2 linked regions of the Arabidopsis thaliana genome follow. The protein of the gene in region 1 binds, or shares a complex with, the protein of each later gene. Each region holds a gene or a part of one and is shown on either strand. Other genes may lie near its edges.

Region 1 (4,993 bases):
ATAAGATTATGACAAGAACTTAACCAAACTTTACAATAACATCAAGTTGAATATGATTAGATTGGATATGCAGAGACATGATTAATAAAGACATGTTATATTTTTAATGTAAAAAACAAATTTTCTAAAATTTCACCGTCTCACAAACTAAATATATAACCAAAAGAACAAAGATATATAAATTAAAAAAAAAACTGAGAATCTAAAACAACAATAAAAAACAACTCAAGCACTTTCGTTTTCAGATGAACTAATATAGTTGGACTTTTTGAAAACAATTACAAATCATATTTATGTTTCAAAATCGATGCATTCAACTTTACTTTATATGAACAGACATTATATAAAACAATTTGTAAATAGTAATACATAAACCCGCACGTAGTGCGGGTATTCATCTAGTTATTAATGAAACAAACTACCCCTCAAGTAAGGAATCTTAACAACAACATCCCCAACTAAATAATCAATGAAAACACCCTCAAATAATGGTTACTCAAACAAAAAAATCCTGAACTTTCTATTTTGGTTTGTTGAAAATAACATTTTTTGCATAAAAACAATAACAGATGTAATCATTTGAAAATCTGAAACGATCAATCAATATAACCAAGATATTGTTTTAGAAGTTGATGAAATTGACACTTTACACGAGTTAGTACACAACAGAGCGAATGGTTCGCAGGACCTCTTTAGATATGAACAGAAACAAGGAACAGAGGCAAAATACTCTCCCTAAGGAGATTTTTTAAAATATTATTATGTCAAATCCTAAATCTAAACCCCAATCCAAAGAGATTTGCAATGTGGTCAATCCTGTGGTCCAAATTGATGATAAATAGCCGAATCCACGTTAGAGAAATCATGGACTATTTAGTTCTAATCATATTATTCATACTAAGAAAGAATGTGGTTGAATCAATGGGAAGCTTGATCAATGTGAGGTCATTACTCCATTGTTTGGCCTTTTGGTGGAGACAACATCAGTAAATGCGTCGACAAGTTGGCCAGCAAGGCTACCTGGATCATCCTCTAAAGTCTGCACAAATGTGCTCACAACAGATTGCTCCTGAGCGGTTGAGCTCATGCTGAACCATGTCAAGAACCTGACCCTGAATGTTGTTTTAATGTGGCCTTCACGCTCCAGCCACCTGATCACCTTCACACATTTCTCAAGAGTGTCATCAATCGACGAACTGTCACACTCGTGGTTCTCTGAGTCATTACTGTCTGAAATTGCTTTCCTCTTCCTGGTCATGAGGAAATCAAATCCGGTATCATCACCACTTCCATCTGATATAACCAAGCAGTCGTTGTTGTTCTTCCGTCTACCGTTAGACACAGCATCATCACAGTTATCATCATGATCACCACCATCAGCCTCAGCAAGCGAATTTAGCGGCACTCCATTGTCTTCACCTCCAGAAGAATCAGGTGGAGTGAACTCCTCATTCAAGTCTGGCACTGAAACTACATTTAGATCAAACCCATGTGGCCTTCGAGGTGGCAATTCTTCCTCTGGCGGCTCACAAATTTTCTCAGTATCTACATTGTAAAACGCTTCAAGCAAGCCTTCCTCCTGAGCTTCAGCCAACTGCACATACTTCCCAAGTTGCCCAATTTGAAATCTTGAGGAAATGCTACTTTTCTCCTCTCTATCTGAGGGCTGAGCGTTACCTACTAAATCAATTGTTCTCTTTTCCTTACCATCCACTGGTTTCAATATCTCAACGCTCTTCGTAAAGCACATAGCGTTCGAATGGCCAAATATACCAGCTTCTGTGTAAGAGACAACACGGAATGTGTACTCCGTGCAAGGCTCAAGGTCAGATATCACCATCCTCCTCTCAGTTCTACTGCAATCAACAAATAAATCATCCTCAGGCATCTCTCCTTTCTTGAAATACCATAACTTGTAACCCTTAACATCATATTCTACAGCACTAGGTAGCTCAATCAGACGAAGAGTCACTTGCTTTGGTGCAATATCTTCGAAATGAAACCTGCACGCAGCTGGAACTAAATCTGCAAAAACATATATGAACTTATTTCATTACTCTCTCTTTCAGATTCATTGCAATAAACATATCTCCAATACTAACCTCTACCTGCATTGGCTGACAACTCCCCTGCCTTTTTAATTGCAGAAGTGCAAAGCTCTTGCACATTAGCTGCAACAGGAAGCCTACTAACAATGCCTCTATCAGTTCTAGCAGTAGGTCCATCAAGAGGTCCAACTTCATCCTCCAGCATAGACTTAGCAGCTCTAACAATCTCATGCAATTCACTAAACCGACTAGTCCCATTCAACAGTCTATAACCCAAATCTATTCTATAACACAGTCCATCACGTCGTCGTGCTTCCTTTGCTGCCACAAGCTGCTTTTTCCAACATCTTCATAAACACACACGCACATTGAGTTATACAAAGCCAATTACAGCAATCAAACAAAGAGTAAAGGAAGAAATTTTACCCAAGAATTTGAGAAACTTTGCCACATGAGTAGCAACAAAAACAACCATCAAGCTTCATCAGATTCCCAAGAGCAATAACACCAACTTTGACTTCTCGAAAAGCACACTCAATGTGACACGATAAGCCACAGAACTCAACATCATCAGATTTCTCAGGCTCACAAACTAACCAAAGACTAGGATCCTTGTTTTCATCGAAATTATGACAAACACAACAAGAACATCTCTTGCAAAAGGAATCTTCTTTAGGCACATTAGCTCTACACGATGCATTCTTGCAGATCCATGATGATCTCAAACACCCACCACCACCATCGACGTCTTGTTGTTGTTGTTGTTTCCCATTTGATTCGTGCTTCTTGTTTGACTTTTTGTTCGTCTTGCGTGAATGTGAGATCTTCGATTTCGTCGATGATGAATCCATACTTGCTCAGAAAGAAAAAATTAAAGTCTTTGTAGCTCTTCTTCTTCACAGATGTCTTCGTCGAGAAACAAGGATTGTTTCGTCTTTTTTGATTCAATGTCGAAATTGAGAAACATGGTTCGGTGATTGAGATTACGGAGGAGTTTTCAGGTGGCTGTAGATTTAGGCGTCGCCTGAGAAAACATTGCCGCGGCGGCTGAAATTTGGGGGAAAGAGAGAGGAAGGAGATGAAAGTTAGAGATTCTAGGGTACACGTGTCATTTGTTTTTTTGTTTTTTTATAACATGTATCATATTGGGCCTATTTCTTTAAAGGGCCTCCATTTTCTTAGTTTCGAGATTTTAGGGACAAAAAAAGGGAAGAACACAATTCATGGTTTTAAAATCAAAACCGAATTTTTGGAATATCGGAGTGGTTCTAAATTTCTCAATCCGAATCCTTGTATCCGAATATCGGAGTGTCCATAACTAGTAAATATTTACACACATGTAAATTTTATACATATATAAAAGTATAAAACTAAGCAAATTCGTATATTATATAAATTAAACTAAACACATTCCTATATCATTTTTTCAGTTTAATAATTACGGTTAGGTTCCAGTTTGGCCAATTGAGCCACATAACATAATTATTATATGAGGATATTATTTTTATATAATTAGTATTTTTTATTTAGTTGTCTTTTATTATTTTATCATGGTCTCTTAAAACAAATTTTCATTTTTTCTCAAACAAAAAAAAAAAGAAAAAGAAAAATAGTGAATGTCGAAGGTGGCGATAGGAACGAAGAAGGGGGGAACAACAGAGAAGATATCTTAAGAAAACCAGCGACTTGGTCTTCTACTTGTTCTTCTACTATGGAGAGATTGATACTGCTGGTATATTAGTGAAAACTTTTGGAAGCCTTTTCGATACAGAAAAACAGATTTTTTAATATGCAATGTAAATTAGTCTTTTCGTATTCTACAAAAAATATAGATCCCATAAAAAAAAATTCACAGTAAAAAAATTAGTTTGATTATGTTAGTCATGTATTGATTTTAAGTATGGACACTAACACACATAAACTTTATGAAAAATCATTATGGTTTATACTGAATGTGAGACGGATTTAGAAGATGCAAATAAGTGAATTAACAAAGTTGTACTAAAAGATATATGTTCTTGATAAAAGAGTGAATATTACGTGCAATAATATGGAATCCATAAAATGAGCTGATCCATTTCATAGCTAGATTAGGTAAACGAGGCAACGTATCAGGCTATAACATAGAGGGGGCTCCTATGGTCCACACTCTGCACGACCAAGTAACTATGTACTGACTGATTTTGTAAAATACTTCAGAATCCAATATTATAAACAAGTTTTTAACCAAATCAATATTCTAAGTTAAGATGTATAACGAGTTAATTTAAAATTCAGATTCGTGGTCAAACTTATAAACTTATTATTAGACTTTGAGGACTATCAGAACTAATTATAAAACTTAAGCATGTGCATGTATTTACTATTTAGTGAGGACTGATTATAAATTTCATATTAAACTTGGTAACGACAACCACTTGGTGTTAGTATAAACGTATCATTTAATGAAATATAGGGATATAAAAGTATTTGTGGAATAAAAACACATAAAATTTGATAAGAATTCTCACATCAAAATAAAATATGAATTTAAATATATCAAAAGGATTTTATCCGTTTATTATTGATTGGGTTTGAGTTGAAAACTCATCATAAACCTTGATATGGATTAATTAAAGTGATCTAAAATGAATATAACTAATCTAGCTAATTTAGAATTTGGTCTCAATGAATTAGTTAACAATAGTCATCATTTCAGTGAAGTGTTCGTCATATGATTATTATCGTTTTGAATGTATGGAGAAAAGAAAAGCATCCCCACTAATTTGTATATATGACAAACGAGATAGATTCAAAATGTTACAAAATAGAGTGGAATTGAACAAAACAAAAAAGGGATATAGATTAGAGATTCAGAGAAAATAGATGCATGCATGTGTATGTACGCAAAATTAGATAATGACAATAATATAACATGAAAGATGGAGATTGACATGAAAGGCCCA
Region 2 (4,429 bases), on another chromosome or scaffold:
CTCACATTAGCCATCCAAGTAAACTAAACATCTCCTTTCTTTCGTCATTGTTTCTTGCGTCTAAATCTTAATGGATTGGAATTGAAACGATCTAACTTTGGTTTCATGAAAATGGCTTAGGATGGCCCTCAAGCGGGACAGACTGTTCCCCATGTACACATTCATATCTTGCCTCGTAAAGGTGGTGACTTTGAGAAGAATGATGAAATCTATGATGCTGTAAGTTGTTGCATTTTGATCACATTCCTAGCTTTGGTTTTATACAAATCTTATGGTGGTATCTTCTTGTAGCTTGATGAGAAGGAGAAGGAACTGAAGCAGAAGCTTGATCTAGATAAAGACCGGGTTGATAGGAGCATTCAGGAGATGGCTGACGAGGCTTCCCAATACAGATCTCTTTTCGATTGCTAGTTATCATTTATCAATATCAAATCAAACCAAGCTATCCAGTAGCTTTAATAAGGACCATTGTGACAAGTGACTTTCAGTTTGAAATTTTATGTCAGAGACTTTGATTCAAATTTGTAATTTCTTTCTAATGTCGCCCAATCTGGGTATAAACTAAGAGTTATAGCTTTGGTTGACACTACTTAGTGAGATTAGAATCAACTCCTTCATGTTATAAAGAAAAATTCCCACTTGCTACCATCCTCTCATGCCTCATTTTACACAATGAACACTAAATACTTGAACTAAACAATAGCAGAGATGTATAAATAAATACTGTCCCATAAGATCAGTGCGCTTTGGATACTAAATAACAAGCTAAGAAGCTTTTGATGGTTCTTCCCCTGGAGCGTCATCCTCATCATGATAGATGTTTTCAGCCATTTGCCATATTTGGAGTATGTTGTCCTCAGCAACACTGGAAATAACCCAATCTTCACAAGGGTTCCACGAGAAATCTGAAATTTTGCTAGTGTGACCACCGTGAATAAACAGCAGCTCAGGTGGGCCGTCTTCTGCGTCCTCCACTGTCTGTTCCTCATCGATCCTATCATAAGACACCCTCAAACATATCAATATTGCTCCTCCATGACCATACATGAACATTAAACTAAAGAACTAAAGTCTACGGCCCAAACCTGCTAAGGTCCCAAACCATAAGTCTTCTACCAAGGCAACATGAAGCTAAAATAGTCTCGTTCTTTGGGTTCCAACCAACTTGAAAAACCTCCTCTCTGGAGATCAAGCACATAATTAAGGTTAGTGATGTTGCTGTAACTTGTAAATACTTCTTAGTAACACAAAATCCATCTCAAAGCGGCAATATTTATGGCGTATCATTCTTACTTGTGGCTATCAAATGTGTGAAGAGCGGTGCTTAGCTTCCGTAGATCGAATAATTTAACAGTCTTGTCAGTTGATCCTGTTGCCACAACCCACTCATTAAATGGATTGAAGGCTAAGCAGTTAACCTAAGGCATTTCAAACAACTCAACAATTAGCAAATACATACGAGGCAATATGATTCAATGGTTTTTAGTGTTAAGGAAAGCAAGCTTAAAAACCAGAAGTATTATCTGTATCTAAAGCTAATATATTGCAAACTCACCTCCATCGAATGAGCAACCACAGACTGTACTGGTTTACTGGCAGATGGAGAACGCAGATCCCATATGAGAAGGTATTGGTCATCTCCAACTGATCCAAACAGGTACTCATGTCTCAGATGCCATGCAACATCTTCCACAACCCCTTCATGAGCCTTAAGTTCAGAAAATAATCATCAGCAAGGAAAACACAGAAACCAACCTGAATATCTATCTATGAGCTTTCATAAGTGTAACTGATTCCGTTAAGTGGGTGCAATTCCTTCCTTTCTAGATGATACAAAACAAAACTAAAAACGAATAGAAATCCAAAGCATTACCTTAAAAATCTGCTGAGCGTCCAGAGATTTGTTTTTAGGAGTAGCGTTAATATCCCACAAGCAGATCTGAGCATCATCAGAGCCACTAAGCAAATGACCCTGCTTGAACTTACTCCAAGAGAGACCATATCCCTCAGAGCTGTGACCTCTAAGCTTTAAATCAGGATTACAAGCCCCATCAAGAGGAGGCTTAGATGGATGCTTACTGTAATCGAAAACATAGACCTCCGCATTAACTGTCTTGGTAGCAATTATGAAAGGGTTTTGAGGCATATAGCGAGCTCGATTAACCTCACCATCATGATTTATCTGCTGGATAATTTGTACCTACACAAGCAATCAAACTAACATTTATCATCCTTTACCTCGTTATAACCCTAGAATCAAATCTAGAAAGTTGGAAATGAGAAACAAAAATAAAAAATCGCACCTTTCCAGTTGCACAGCCAAAGCCACCAAATTCAGAGCGGTCATCATCGTACTGACGAGCTTCACTCTCGGTATCGTCAAGAGGAAGCTGAACTTGGGCTAGCATCAAGTAATTGGGCTCGCTCTCGGAGGTATGGGTACCGAGAATCATCTTCTGAACGGAGTAGTCTTTACCGGAAGGTTCTTCACGGTCAGGAAGCCATTCAACAGTAAGTGAAGGCCACTCGAGAGCGTGAGTAATAACGAGATCGTAGAGGAAAGGAGTGTTCTTCTTCCAGATCTTGTACTCTTCATTGATTAGTCGCTCCTCGATCTCACCTCGCATTTCCTCTTCGTCTTTCCCCATATCGGCGATGTCTTTGTTATTCCCGCCACAAGAACAAGGCAAAACCCTAAAACAGATCTCTTTACAAATTGTAAGAAACTTCTCGCTTCTGTTTCTGAATAATTCACATATAGAAGATGATGAATAAAAAAAGGAAGAAGATAAAGAAAAGGCCCATTTTTGAAAAGCCCGTTTATGAAAAGGCCCAATTAGATGACTTTTGATCTTACACCAGTCAACAGAAGTGAGGATTGGAGAAAAGAGAGAAAAAATGGCGATGGAGATCGGAGAAGATGAATGGAAGGTTTGCTGTGGAAGCTCCGAATTCGCGAAGCAGATGTCTACGTCTGGACCGTTAACTTCTCAAGAAGCAATATATACTGCAAGAGACATCTGGTTCAACCAAGTTAATGTGACAGATTGGCTTGAAGCTTTCTCTGCTCATCCTCAGATTGGGAATACTCCTTCACCTTCTATCAACTCCGATTTTGCTCGTCGGAGCGTATCAGAACAGTCAACCGCCTTTGCCACAACTTCTGCTTCTGCTTTACAGGTGATGGATCTTCACTTTTTTTTTCCTTCATCTCTTCAGTGATTTCTTCTTCTGATGATCAATTGTTTTCAATTTCTTAGGAGCTTGCCGAATGGAATGTACTTTACAAAAAGAAGTTTGGCTTTATCTTCATTATTTGCGCTTCTGGCAGGACTCACGCTGAGATGCTCCATGCGTTAAAGGTCAACTTTTGCATTTCCAAATCAGTTTTTGTTGAGTGTGAGTGAATGAGAAAGTTACATATTCATCAAATCGTCTCTTTTTCAGGAAAGGTATGAAAATAGGCCAATAGTGGAGCTTGAGATTGCTGCTATGGAACAAATGAAAATAACAGAGCTACGAATGGCAAAGCTGTTCTCCGATAAGGCTAAAGTTATATCAGAAACTGACAGCTCTAGCTCTCCTGTTTCAACAAAACCTCAAGGTATATTGATGATTTACCAAATCTTTTCCTTGTCAAAGTTTTGTGTTTGACTGTGTGGGTTTGAACCTGTTAGGATTCAGTATGATATCAAGTATGTGTCTTTTGGAATACAAGGATTTACCCTTATGGCTATCTTTGTTATCTGTGTGACCTTTTCTACTTTCTCGCTTTGTAAGATCGTCTGAGAATCATTGGAGGGCATTTGAATGTTGCAGCTGAAGCAAAAGCTCCCAAGAGAAGTAGGCCACCGATCACGACTCATGTCTTAGACGTCTCACGTGGTGCTCCAGCTGCAGGTGTTGAAGTGCACTTAGAAGTGTGGAGTGGTACTACCGGTCCTTCCTTTGTTCATGGAGGTGGTGGGGTCTGGTCCAGTGTGGGCACATCAGCTACTGATAGAGATGGGCGCAGTGGGCCACTGATGGATTTGGTTGACGCTTTGAATCCAGGGACATATAGGATTAGCTTCGACACTGCAAAGTATTCCCCAGGCTGCTTCTTTCCCTATGTTTCCATTGTATTTCAGGTTACAGAATCACAGAAATGGGAGCATTTCCATGTCCCACTGTTGCTTGCACCTTTTTCTTTCTCCACATACCGTGGGAGCTAGAGCTATGCTACTGCTGTCTGCGGCACCAACTTTCCAACACATTTTGTTTTGGTTGTACCACTACGGGAACATGTATCAAAATTGCTATGAAATGAAGTCTTTATTCGACATGTATAAAAATTGCTATGAAATAATGTCTATTCGAGTATTTATTTGGATTTGTAGTTCTGTAGAACAAACAATGAATTAGCGAAAATACGAGCTTTGATCTAGAC

The links.
Region 2: VRN5 (region 1) and MSI1 share a complex: the UniProt entries of both Arabidopsis thaliana proteins name them as parts of the plant homeodomain / polycomb repressive complex.

Annotation. Positions count from the first base shown.
Region 1 is NC_003074.8:8,875,273-8,880,265, forward strand, and holds VRN5 (Fibronectin type III domain-containing protein), read right to left. Parts: upstream 3,210-4,993; 5' UTR 2,900-3,209; coding exon 2,475-2,899; intron 2,396-2,474; coding exon 2,103-2,395; intron 2,026-2,102; coding exon 935-2,025; 3' UTR 512-934; downstream 1-511. UniProt on the Arabidopsis thaliana protein: Involved in both the vernalization and photoperiod pathways by regulating expression of the related floral repressors FLOWERING LOCUS C (FLC) and FLOWERING LOCUS M (FLM).
Region 2 is NC_003076.8:23,554,331-23,558,759, reverse strand, and holds MSI1 (Transducin/WD40 repeat-like superfamily protein), read right to left. Parts: upstream 2,749-4,429; 5' UTR 2,649-2,748; coding exon 2,304-2,648; intron 2,201-2,303; coding exon 1,874-2,200; intron 1,709-1,873; coding exon 1,556-1,708; intron 1,419-1,555; coding exon 1,294-1,418; intron 1,182-1,293; coding exon 1,086-1,181; intron 995-1,085; coding exon 766-994; 3' UTR 515-765; downstream 1-514. Other genes in the region: FHIT (FRAGILE HISTIDINE TRIAD), read left to right, coding at 1-18, 121-219, 292-411; TTL (transthyretin-like protein), read left to right, coding at 2,899-3,180, 3,261-3,362, 3,448-3,604, 3,781-4,214. UniProt on the Arabidopsis thaliana protein: Core histone-binding subunit that may target chromatin assembly factors, chromatin remodeling factors and histone deacetylases to their histone substrates in a manner that is regulated by nucleosomal DNA.